Mus musculus: one gene and its partner. The protein of the gene in region 2 interacts with the protein of the main gene of each other region in a pairwise test. Links are inferred from orthologs where the notes say so. Each region holds a gene or a part of one and is shown on either strand. Other genes may lie near its edges.

Region 1 (6,037 bases), on a different chromosome or scaffold from region 2:
AAGTTTGCTTTATAAGTTTCTTAATAACTTCGTTTAGGCTTCCCTATGTTGAGAGTAAATGTTATGGTTCTAAGTTTAAGTTTTTTGTTTATAATGTAAGTTTTCTAAAAAGAATTTTTTCTTTCAATTAGTGGTTTTGTTTTTCTTCGCCTTATCTGCCCTGCTATCCTGAATCCACGGATGTTTAATATCATCTCAGGTAATTACCTTTTAATATATTTTCAAATGAGAAAAAAATCTGTATTTTCATATTTGATAAAAATACTTGCCTTTTAAATCAAATTAAAAAAATTCAAGATACAAATAAAACTTGCCTGCTTTGTCTTTTAGTATCTAAGATTTTTTTGTCCTGTGACTCATTTTTTTTATTTTAAAAAGTCTACATTGTAGTCACTTGAGCACGTGTGTGTGTGTGTGTGTGTGTGTGTGTGTGTGTGTGTGTGTGTGTGTGTATATATGGGCATTTGCTTGTTATGGAGCATGTGTAGGGATCAGAGGTCAGCTCTTGGGAGATGACTGTCTCTCTTCACCATCTGAGTGCCTAGGATTGAAATCAGGACATCAAACTTGGTGGCAAGCACGTTTACCACTCTTGCTGGCCTGCTGGCTCTGACAAGTGTTTGTAGGAGATTAGGAAGGGCTCTTGTTCTTGTGTCCTTTGCCTACATCAGGTTACTGTAAGGTAAACTTTCTGCTAAGATCAGGTTAAAGACCTATGTGCAGCCACATTAGCAATCTGTGAACACTTACAAAGATAGCCCAAGATTCTTTTTAATAAGCTTGACCCCATTTTGCTTTTCACTCACTGTCCACAGGACAAAATTTTAAGATTTGTAAGCTTAAGAAAAAGTATTGATGTTTCTTACTCTAATGTTGTAATGAGTCCATTAACATTAATAGAAGGAAACAGTCATTTGCATGCTATACTTTGAACCTCAAATCTGTATTAAAATTTATTTGAGGTGGGACTTCATTCTGGAATTCTGTAATCCCAGAACTTAGGAGGCTAAGGTACAAAAAAGCCCAAGACAAACCTGGGCTTTGTAGCCAGACTATGTCACTAAACACAGTGGTATGTATCTACAATGCCCATATGCATGAATGGTGAGTCTAAGAGTCCCCCTGATCTTAAAATCAAAGGGAAGACCATAGTTTTTTTCACTATTATTATGTTTATACTCCTCACATTCCTGCAATTTTTATTAATACTAAGGTGATTGAAATGATGCATATTAAGAATAAAAGACTGGGTGTAATGGTTCAGTGTTTAAGAACATACACTGCTCTTACAGAGAACCTGAATTCACTTCCAAACACCCATGGCAGGTGGCTCACAACCACTTATGACTCCATCTCCAAGGGATCAGACACTGGTCTTGGTTCTGTGGGTAGCTGCACTCATTTGTACATACCCACACCAAAGTATACATAACTTTTTTAAAATTAAAAGGCTTAGAATTTTTGAGCGCTCTATCTAAACATTGGCCTTAAACTGCCACTTTAATACAAAACAGTGAGTCAAAATGTTAATAGTTGCTGGCTGAGAATGTAACTAAGCTGGTGGAACACTGGCAGAGTATACATGAGGCCCTGGGTTCAACCCCTTGTACCTGATAAGAGATCAGAAACTCAAGGTTGTCCATGGACATGGGTGGGGCCTTAATTGTCAGTTTCTGTTTGGTAGCTACAAATACTTTTCATTTACATTCCATTTTCTCTGTTCTACAGGGAACTGTTTCATGAACTCAAAAACTGATGTATAAATTGAGCTAGTTGCCTGCAAATAATGTTGGGAACAGGGAATTGCTAAGATTGCAAAATGCTCCCCTATGTGGGTTGAATTAGCTTTGGGCATGGTCTGAAAGTTTTTAGAGTGAGAGTCTTCTTAGCAATAAAGCAGCTTTTTGAAGTATTCTGAAATATCAGCCAGTTGGAAATTACTCCTTTAGTTTCCTTTTCACAAAACAAGCACTGATAAGTATGTTCAATTTTCCCTTTTAATTCAAGTTCTTTTGAATTAAGTGATATATTTTCAAGGACTATTGTGAATATATTCTGAATAAAGGATTGTTGGCACTTTTAATATTTCTTTAGTGTTAATACTAAGTGTTTGACCATTTATCTGAAAGTAACCTCTGGAGTCGGTGTCATTGGCTATACCCAATTTTCTTCTAGATTCCCCATCTCCTATTGCTGCAAGAACACTGACATTAGTGGCTAAATCTGTGCAGAATTTAGCAAATCTTGTGGAATTTGGAGCTAAGGTAAACATATTTTGATAATTAAATTAATAACATTTTAAATGGAAATTTAAATTCACAATGAATATATACCAGATCTTCAAAACATGATTGGAATGATATAGTTATCTGCTTTTGTGACTTAGTATATGACATATTTGTTCATAAATTCACATGTACATACCACTAGTCAGTATGCAGTCCTTTAACTGATGTTCAAATGTAACAAGTATTCTTTACACTTCCATTCAGACTTGTCCTAAACTTTGGGGTATGGTTAATAATTAAATATACATTTCAGGCTTTTGTCATATATTCCATTTTCCATTTTTGGTTATTATTATTTCTTGCCAGATTCATTTTTTTCTAAAAAGATTTATTCACTTTTATGTGTATGAGTGTTTTGCCTGTATGTGCGTTAAGTGCACTGGTATGTACCTTGTGCCTACATGGGCCAGAAGAGGACAGAGTATATTATATTATATTCTCAGGAACATAACAGTTGTAAGTCACCATCTGAGTGCTGGCAAGTGAGCCCTGGTCCTGCTCTGCAAGTGTAGCAGGCGCTCTTAATGCAGAGGCGTCTCAGCAGCCCACAGATCCTTATCTCTGTTCATCTGCTGGGGGTGTTCGTGTGTTTCATTGTTGTTCTTCCAATTTCATGTCTACATCTTTGGGATTTCCAATTGAATGTTATCCCATTTGAAGCCTGTTGTTGATACTTTACTAACTAGAAATTATAAATTATAGTGGGTTAGGATTTTAGTTTAAGTAGTTTACATTTATGGGTTATTGTTTGAAATTTCCTGAAACCCAAAGCGTATTTTGCAGTCATAGGGAGTTTTTGGTTTCACTGTATTTTATTTAATTCCTTATAATGTGTTGGATTCTTCATAATTTATCAGTAATTAATTCTAAATCTATATATAAACAATTTGGGTCTGCCAAGCTATATGTTTAATGATTTTTAATTTGTAATTTAATTTTGAATCTTCATTAAATACCTCCATTCCTCCCACGAAACTGTTTATATTAAAGAGAAATTTTGCATGAATAAATACTAATTCTTGCAACATGTATAGTTTTTGTTGTAAAACAGTTCTTTTAAGGTATATGAGATGGAAGTTTTAAATTTTTTAGGAGCCTTATGGAAGTTTTTAATTTTTTTAGGAGCCTTATATGGAAGGTGTCAATCCATTTATAAAAAGTAATAAACATCGCATGATCATGTTTTTAGATGAACTTGGGGTATGTATATAATTTTCAAGTTCTTTGAGAATGAGCTTAGCCATATGAGTAATAACCTTTAAATTTTAAAACCAGGACTTCAAAATAAAATCTTTTCTATCCAAAATGTCTTTTTCACTTATTCTTGTTTATATCAAGCATACACAATTGTGGCTTTCAACCAGTCATCTTTCAGGCTGTCTTTTCATTCATACCCTTTAGCTATTGTTGGATTTAGTAACCTTTTAAGTTGTAGCTGAAACAAGATTTGAAGCCATTTATATTGGAACTAAAGTTAGAACTAAATGAAATAATATAATTATTATACCTCACTTGAGCTTTTATAAATTAAACTGATACAAAATTGAACATATTCATAATTTCTGAGACCCTAAATAATAAAGTTAAATTTTCTACCCCATATACATTTCTAACACTGAATGAATTTTTAAGTAAATATATTCATAATGTGGTATGTATACACGGAGACCAAGGTGAAATTAGCACGCATGTGTGAGTTTAGCCAAGTTTGTCATCAAAAGTATAGGCGATTCAGTTGTAGTAGTGTATTTCGACTCAGTGATTCATTTTAAAACAAATGTCAAAAGCCCTTTTTGGCAAACAAATGGGGTTAGAAGGAAGACCGACAACATAAGTTCTATATTTATAAGAAACATTTATGTGAGCTTCTGCAAAGATTCTATTAGGAGTACTTCTAATTATTGGCATTTAATGCAATAATACGGTATTATACATTTATTATGATGGCTAAGTTACTTCATGAAGGTTAAACATGTTAATGTCCAATAATCCCATATTTTAGAATTATCTTGAGCACAGTCTATAGAAATTGCAAACAATGAATTTTTATTATACTTTCATAATTTAGTTCTTTAGATGTTGGTTAATTTAGATAAGAGTACTGTAGTAGTATTCAGTCTAGGAGTTTTAAGTTGTAATGGTATCATTTATTTTGCATATGCTCTAAATTTAAAAAAGATTCACACTGTCATTCTATGAAAGTTGAAGAACCTGGCTTCTTTGTAAATAGATGTCCTATAACCCATGTTCAGCAGAATTACTTGAATAAAAATTTTTGTACAAATTAATGTTTTATACCTAGTTAGGATAACTTTAGAAGAGACTACAAGGGTTTTTATTTCTAAACGCAGTTTTATGATTCCCTTAAAGAATGTACCTGAACTTCCGGACACTACAGAGCATTCTAGAACTGACCTGTCTCGTGACTTAGCAGCATTGCATGAGATTTGTGTAGCTCATTCAGATGAACTGAGAACACTCAGCAATGAGCGTGGTGTACAGCAGGTAGGTTTTACATGGCAATGTTCCTGCTTTATAAATGGTACATGTAAAAATGGCAAGTGAGTTACTGTCAGTAGTAAGAAGGCATGGTACTCTTTCAGTTACTCTCATACCAAGTGTGTGAGCAAAACTACTTGTGAAGCACAGGAGAACTATATAAGAAATGTGAAAAATAACTACAGAGGATACATTATTATAGTGATTCAAGTTGGTATGGTACATAACTCATACCTTAAAAATCAGTCCACATTAAGCTTTTGCTGTCCAGTAGAACTGTAAAGATACTTTAATTGATTTAGTGATAAGTTACTGGAGATAGTCTCTCTTAAGCTAAGGTAGTTAAATGGAGAGAAAAGGGTATCACATAGGAAAGGATAAATCAAGATAGACCATCCTAAGTCTGATTAATTAGCCTGCGAGGCTAGAATCCAAGCAGTCCTAACTAGTTAAGAGTACAATTGGAAAATATTGCTATTGTTTAACTTAGATTTTTCAAGATTTAATAATGACAAAATTTAGTGTAGTAAGACCTTCTATATTTTGGTTACAACTAAAAATACTCAGTTTATGTCTTGAGTAGAATCTCAGTCCTTTGATATAGTTTTTATCAAAAGTAATAAATCCTATAATTGAAATTTTAAGCTCTTTATTTGCTTAGTGATTTTTTTCCTCACTATTTCTCCTGTGTCTAGCACGTACTGAAAAAGCTTCTGGCGATAACAGAACTGCTTCAACAAAAACAAAACCAGTATACAAAAACCAATGACATCAGGTAGCAGCCTGTGTTCTGCGTGGATTCAGTATGCCCACCGTGGTAATTCACACCATCATGTCTCCTTTGCTCTTGCCAAAAAGAAAAAAATAGAGAAAGAAAAAAAATAGCACACTTTCCCACATTCCAGTGATGTGTGAGCTATGCAAGCAAAAACCCAAGATTCTGCTGAAGAGCAACTGCCAGCACCTTTGTAAGCTATCTGTGCAGAATATTGCGCACTTTTTCCACATGGAATCTCTACCAAACTCTGAGCCTTGGTGTACCCTTAACAACAACAAAAATGCTATGACTGACTGTGTCTTGAACTTTGAAAATATATTTTCAGTATATCCAATTGCCAAAGTTTTGCTGTCTCTTGGAAAAGGAACTATGAAATCAACTGACAAGGAAACGCATTCTATAGACAACAGAATTTAACTGGATCGCAGACAGTTATTACTGTAATTTCTTCTTTATGAACATGACCATTTGA
Region 2 (6,037 bases):
TACTAAAGATTAATAAGGGAGAAATTATGGGCTGCCACCGGCGTCACTACCCTCAAGTATTTCCTGCCTTGTGGGGGAGTTAAAACATTTGAAACACCCACAATACTAACATGCTTTTAAATCGACCTCAGACTTCGGCTCCAGATGACACGCGCCTTAAGCGTACAGAACTGTTACTTCTAAGCACTTAAAAAAAAATCTCTAATTTGCCATCTTAATTATCAAAATCATTCCACCTTAAAGACTTTGTGTAGTTTCAATAAAATGTTTTATGTGAGACACGTGCAAGACATTAAAAAACAGGGGCTGCTCAGCTGAGCAGAAAGGGCTCAGTATCTCTGGAGACCGATTTTGACCCATTTGCCCATTCTTTAAATGGGGAAAGGTTGTGGAAAAACATGAAGCCAATTTCAATAGACAGAGCTTAAATAATGACGTTTAAAGTTTTTAGAAGGTACACCAAGAAGCAAACGTATCAAAGTGCACATCACCCTGTAGAATAACTTATACTGGAATAAGTTTGTGCCTGGCATTCCGGTCTCATTCACCAGGCAAATTTTCTTTAAAGCAAGTGGTGGAAAAAGCAAGTCACTTAAATGCAAGGTCCTAAGACAAACTGATTAAAGGGCTCCATGGTTACGACGCATAACAAATACCTCAGCAGGGGCGGGTGTGTGTGTGTGTGTGGGGGGAAGTGACCTGTGTTTTCCTAAAATATGAAAGGTTGAGAGAGAGCCTGAAGCAGTCCAGACCAGCTCCGTTTCTCATAAAATGAAGTCCAGCACGTCACTTCTAAAGCTTATTTCAGCACTAAGACGGGGCTGCTTTTAAATCATGCTGCTCTGACGTCACGAGCCCAGAGAAAGAGGAGGAGGCTGTGAAAGCCACGGTCCTCTTCTTCATCATTCACTTCCTCAATGGTTTGCCCTAAGCCGAGCCTAAAAGTGAGGAGGGCACGCGTATTGTCTCCTTAGGTGTTTATGGGAGGAACGGTGATGATTAACCGGAAAAGGGGAAAGAGGATTATTTTATTCATTTCCCAGGGAGATAAAATACACATGAGAAAAATTTGAATTCCACAGCCCTGTTAGAGAAGTATAAAGTAAATGAGAAGTCTATATAGATGGGGAGCAGGGAAGGAAATGAGAGGTGGGGGAAGGGAAGGGAGAGGGGTCGAGGTAGAGAAAGTGGAGGAGAGGAAGAGGAAGAGGAAGAGGAGGGAGGCAGAGAGGGAAAAGGGAGAGGGAGAAGGCCAGCATACCATTTTGGTACCCTATTTTTGAACACCTACTGCTCTAGATAAACGAAAGATGACAGTGGACTTGATGGTAAAAATGTACAACTGACTTCTGTACTTCCTGACTCAATAGCAACACTGATTTTCTCTTTCTTTTGAAGACAATGTCTCATGAGACCCAGGTAGCCCTCAAATTCAGTATGCAGCCAAGGGTGACCTTGAACTGATCCTCCCACCTCCATTTCCAAAGTGCTAAGGTTGCAGGTCTGCACCGTGACACCTGGTTTATGTGATGCTGGAGAGAAAACTCAGTACTTTATGTGTGCTACACACAATCCCTCTGCCAACAACATACAGTGGGTCATAAAAGTACTTCTCAAGCTATTTAGTAAGGATACAGTAAACCTATTACACACACACACACACACACACACAGACACACACACAGACACACACACACACACACACACACACACACACACACACACACACACTGTAACTTTCGAGAAGATCAGCATGCAGGTTTTTCTCTACAAAAGGATGGCATACAAAGAGGCTGTGTGCTTCAGTTGGTCCCATGGAACCCGACATCAGTTGCCTTAAGAAGAACCAAGAACGCTTACACTGGTAGATCTGCAGGAAGGTTTCGGAGAGTTTGTTCGTCATGAGGGGCTCAGGAAGATCTCGAAAATATTGCTTTAACATGTCTGCCACATCATAAGCAGACTGGCCTTCATAGTTGACATTATCTTCAGCGCTTTCATTCATCTGGCGTAGAGCCTGGATCCGGGATTTGACACCTGACTTCCTGAAGAGCCCGACCTTTTGGAAGGAGAACAGCAGGGATGGGTGTGGAAGCAGGACCCTTCCCCACGAAACTAGAAAAAAAACCATGCAGCCCAAAGCTCCGCTCCCACGAGTGGGATCCACAGGCAGCTGTACTCACCTGGTCCAGACAGTGGTTACGGAGGTAGCGCATGGCCTGCTGGATGCTCTGGGGCAGGGGCTGTCCTGAGCGCTGCACGTTCACAGTCAGTGGGACCCCAAACACACTCCGGTCCTTGTAGTCTGGAACCTTGATCCTTTTCATGAACTTGGGCACAGCCCTGTTTAAGGAAGATGGGGTGGAGGGGATAAAGCATTCACTTGTCTGAATTTGCTTACCCCCCCTTCTTTTCAACCCCTCCCCCCACCACGAATTTGATCCCTGTCAATACAGGGACTATTTAAATGAAAATAAAGTGACCTCTTCCGTTCTGTAGCTGTAGTAGCCACATTAAAGACCTTTTACTGGGTCAGTAGCTGCCACAATACATTATATGAGTGTAAAACGCCCTGCTCCAAATTACTGGACAATGTCATAGGAATGTGTGTGGTTTTTTTTTTTTTTTTTTTTTTTTTTGGTGGCGGGTGGGCAAAGTGCTTTTGGTTATCAAACTTGGAGACTCTGGAATCTATCTGGGCAAGTGCTCTGTTACTGAGCTACAGCCCTAATGTCTCCCCGATTCCTTTGTTTTTGTAAGACTTTTTATTATTATTATTATTATTATTATTATTATTATTATTATTATTATGTAGCCCACTCTGGTCGGTCTAGATATCTGAAGAGCTGGAACTAAAAGACCTGGACAAATACCCTCATCTGGGGAATCTGTTAGCTCCTGTTAATCTTGAGAAGGGTTGTCTGTGGTCCTCAGGGAGGCTAATGGACTTCCTTACACGAGAACAGTACAGGAAGGAAGAGGCAAAAAATATGTAACACCCTATTTAGGTACTTCTGATATGAGCTTGAGAAACAACTTCCCACTTTTCCTAAAAGGGTATGAATCCCTTCTGGGTTCTTGGAAGAGACCTGAGTTGATTCATTTATAAGGAGATCCGGGTAACATTGTGTAAAAACCAGCCAAAGGCTAACTGTCTTGTCATACTGGGAACCTAGGCCAGAGATCAAATAGGGCTGGATCTGGAGTCAAAATAAATTCCCCTGCCGATGACTCCAAAGAATACAGCATCTCCAGGCTTCTATGGGAAAGGGGAAAGGCACAATGGGGGTTTTGTGAAGCTCCCAAAGGCGGCCAGGCATCCTGAAAGCAGGGCTGTGCCCAGCCATATATGCGACAGCAGGAAACCCAAATCAGGCATTTAAGGATGTCAGGCAGGTACAAGTGACCCCTTGAGGGAGACCAGAAAGGGCAGAGCCGAACAGGAAAGGGACTTTGGGCAGAAGTGCTCCTTGCTGTCCGAGTTCTACAATGCCAGGCATTTACATTTTGGTTTTTACACACTGGAAAACCTGACCAGAAGTGAAGTAAGTGGGAGGGTGGACTTGTAGATTTTTTTTTTTTTTGAGGGTTTGGTGAGAAAGGGGGTAGACAACCCTGAAAGGAGAATGTAAAATATGCAGTTTTAAATAGCAGTGAGGAAAATATTACTCTAAGCACAGAGGGAGACCACAGAAAGCCAACTGCCTTGCCTTCTGGGTGCTTGCCCGCGGCCATGGTGTGCCACTCTTGATGGCTCTAGAAAAGGAAAAGGCAGAGAGTAAAGCCAGATTTGCATTTCCATACAGTTAGGAGCAGGGCACAGAGGCAGAAGTGTGCATAAAGCTCGCTTTGTTGTGCGTGAAGGGCCCAGGCTGTGGAATGTGGAAAGAACACATTACACTCCCCGCTGAGAATCTGAAGCATTCTGGGATAAACTGGTCAATACGTATTTCTGTCATTCAGAACAAACAACTTCTGTATTTAGCGAGGCTCATGTAACTGCCTTGGTTAGGGAGGTGCTTTGATGGCACAACTACAACCCCTGGACATTCCTAGGAGGGAGGAGTCAGAGAATTGAGGAACAGTGGACCCTGCCTCAGACCATCTCTACCATTTTGGCTGGTTACTGATATGGGCTGCATCTGTTTTCATAACAATTGGACTACAAGCACCCTGATGTGAAAAGATTCAGGGACACCTGTGACACTTGGAAACAGAGACCTGGATCCAGATACAGTTCTTGTCTTTAAACTCTGACTATGGACAGGAATTATATCCTGCCCACGACCCATCCAGCCTGACTGTCCACATTTTACACTCAAGGCTGAGGATTCTAGATTATGAAGAGTTAGACATCTAATACATTTCAATTTTAAAAATATAGTTGCTCTGTGGTGGGGCATGGTGGCACATGGCTTTAATCCTAGCACTCAGAGGAGGTAGAGGCAGGTGAATCTCTGAGTTCAAGGCCAGCCTGGTATATATAGTTATGAGTTCTGGGACTAACAGAGCTATAAAACAGATAGACCCTGTCTTAAAACACCAAAACAAACAAACAAACTAAAGCAAAAAAAAAAAAAACAAAAAACAAAAAACAAAAAACAAAAAAACCCCCCAAAACCCAAAGGGCTGGAGAGATAGATAGCTCAGTGGGTAAGAGCACTGACTGCTCTCCCAGAGGTCCTGAGTTCAATTCCCAGCAACCATATGGTGGCTCACAACCATCTGGAACGGAATCCGATGCCCTCTTCTGGTGTGTCTGAAGACAGCTACAGTATACTCATACATAAAATAAATAATTCTTAAAAAAAAAAAAAAAAAAACCAAAAACTCAAACACAAAGAAACAGTATATATGTAAGATATTATAGCTAACTACTTAAGTTTATTATTCTCTGAGCATTTTTGCCAGAAAGGTCCGCTTCTAAATAAACAACAAAGCAAAAAAACCCCAAAGTCAAAACAAAAACCCCAAACTTGTTAGCACAGGTAGATTTCTCAGGTCATGCTCAAAACCTTCAATCAAAACTGACCAACAGCGTGATGGAGTGTGGGCTCAGCATGAACAAGGGCCTGAACGCATCTCAGGCAACCACATGATGGCTGAAAACCCAACCAACCAGTCCTGCAGTTAACTCCCTGAGGCTCCAGGAGTTTGAGCAGCATGGAGAACATAGCCTGGAGGATGTGGAGACCACCTGCTTAAAGGTTGATGGACTGGTGACATTGACAGAGGACAGAACGGTCCTATGCTGAGTGCTGGGGACAACCTCAGGGAGCGTGATGGCATCCCCCCAGGGCCATTGCTCACTGCTCACTGCGCGCTGCGCTCTCTTACCAGCTGAAGCCGTGCTTGTTGGAAGGCGTGTACTTTTCCAGCAGGGCCGTCAATTTCAGGAGCGAGTATTTCTGCAGCAGGTTCATCTGGGCCACAGACTGGCAGTTAATCTGCAGTGACACGGAGTTGAGGCTCGGCCGGTGGGAGCTCTGGAAGCTGTGCCACCTCAGTCTGTGCCTGCAAGAGAACAGGGCGGAAGGAGTGAGCTGGGACCAATCTCTGATCATCAGGAACCAAGAGCATCGATCTTCCTTTCCCTGCCTCCCCCCCACCCCCACTGTCTTTGTAACCCCTGAAGGTTGGTTCCAGAACATAGCAGATATGTGGACTCAGTACACTCAGGTCTCTTAAAAAAGATGGATAGTGTCAACGCACATCGGGAGCACCCTCCCCATTTAATGTAAGTTTATAAGCCAGATTGCTATAACAACCTGCTAGTAGTTCACGGTCACACTCTATTACCCAGGGTATAATGACGGAGAAGACAGTTTCTCCCCTGAGTAGTTCTCATCTGTGCCTGGCTGAAACTGAAGATTTGGAACTGCAGGAGAATCAAGATGCATGCACTTTAAGCACGTCTAAGTACACCCCACGGTGGATAAGGCCTGACTATATCGTTCAAACACCACCATCTTCCAGGGTCCACTGTCTGCATCCTTGATGACCAAAGGTTCATACCTAGTTTATAATACTCCTTTCC

The links.
Region 1: the proteins of Dlc1 (region 2) and Rasa1 interact in binary tests that used the Homo sapiens proteins (3 or more experiments, as listed by UniProt). The link is inferred for Mus musculus from reciprocal best matches to the Homo sapiens genes DLC1 and RASA1.

What each region holds. Positions count from the first base shown.
Region 1 is NC_000079.6:85,215,633-85,221,669, reverse strand, and holds part of Rasa1 (ras GTPase-activating protein 1), read left to right. Parts: intron 1-131; coding exon 132-199; intron 200-2,175; coding exon 2,176-2,264; intron 2,265-3,410; coding exon 3,411-3,488; intron 3,489-4,658; coding exon 4,659-4,793; intron 4,794-5,482; coding exon 5,483-5,566; 3' UTR 5,567-6,037. UniProt on the Homo sapiens protein: Inhibitory regulator of the Ras-cyclic AMP pathway. Stimulates the GTPase of normal but not oncogenic Ras p21; this stimulation may be further increased in the presence of NCK1.
Region 2 is NC_000074.6:36,577,364-36,583,400, forward strand, and holds part of Dlc1 (rho GTPase-activating protein 7), read right to left. Parts: intron 5,515-6,037; coding exon 5,338-5,514; intron 2,344-5,337; coding exon 2,184-2,343; intron 2,060-2,183; coding exon 1,861-2,059; intron 1-1,860. UniProt on the Homo sapiens protein: Functions as a GTPase-activating protein for the small GTPases RHOA, RHOB, RHOC and CDC42, terminating their downstream signaling.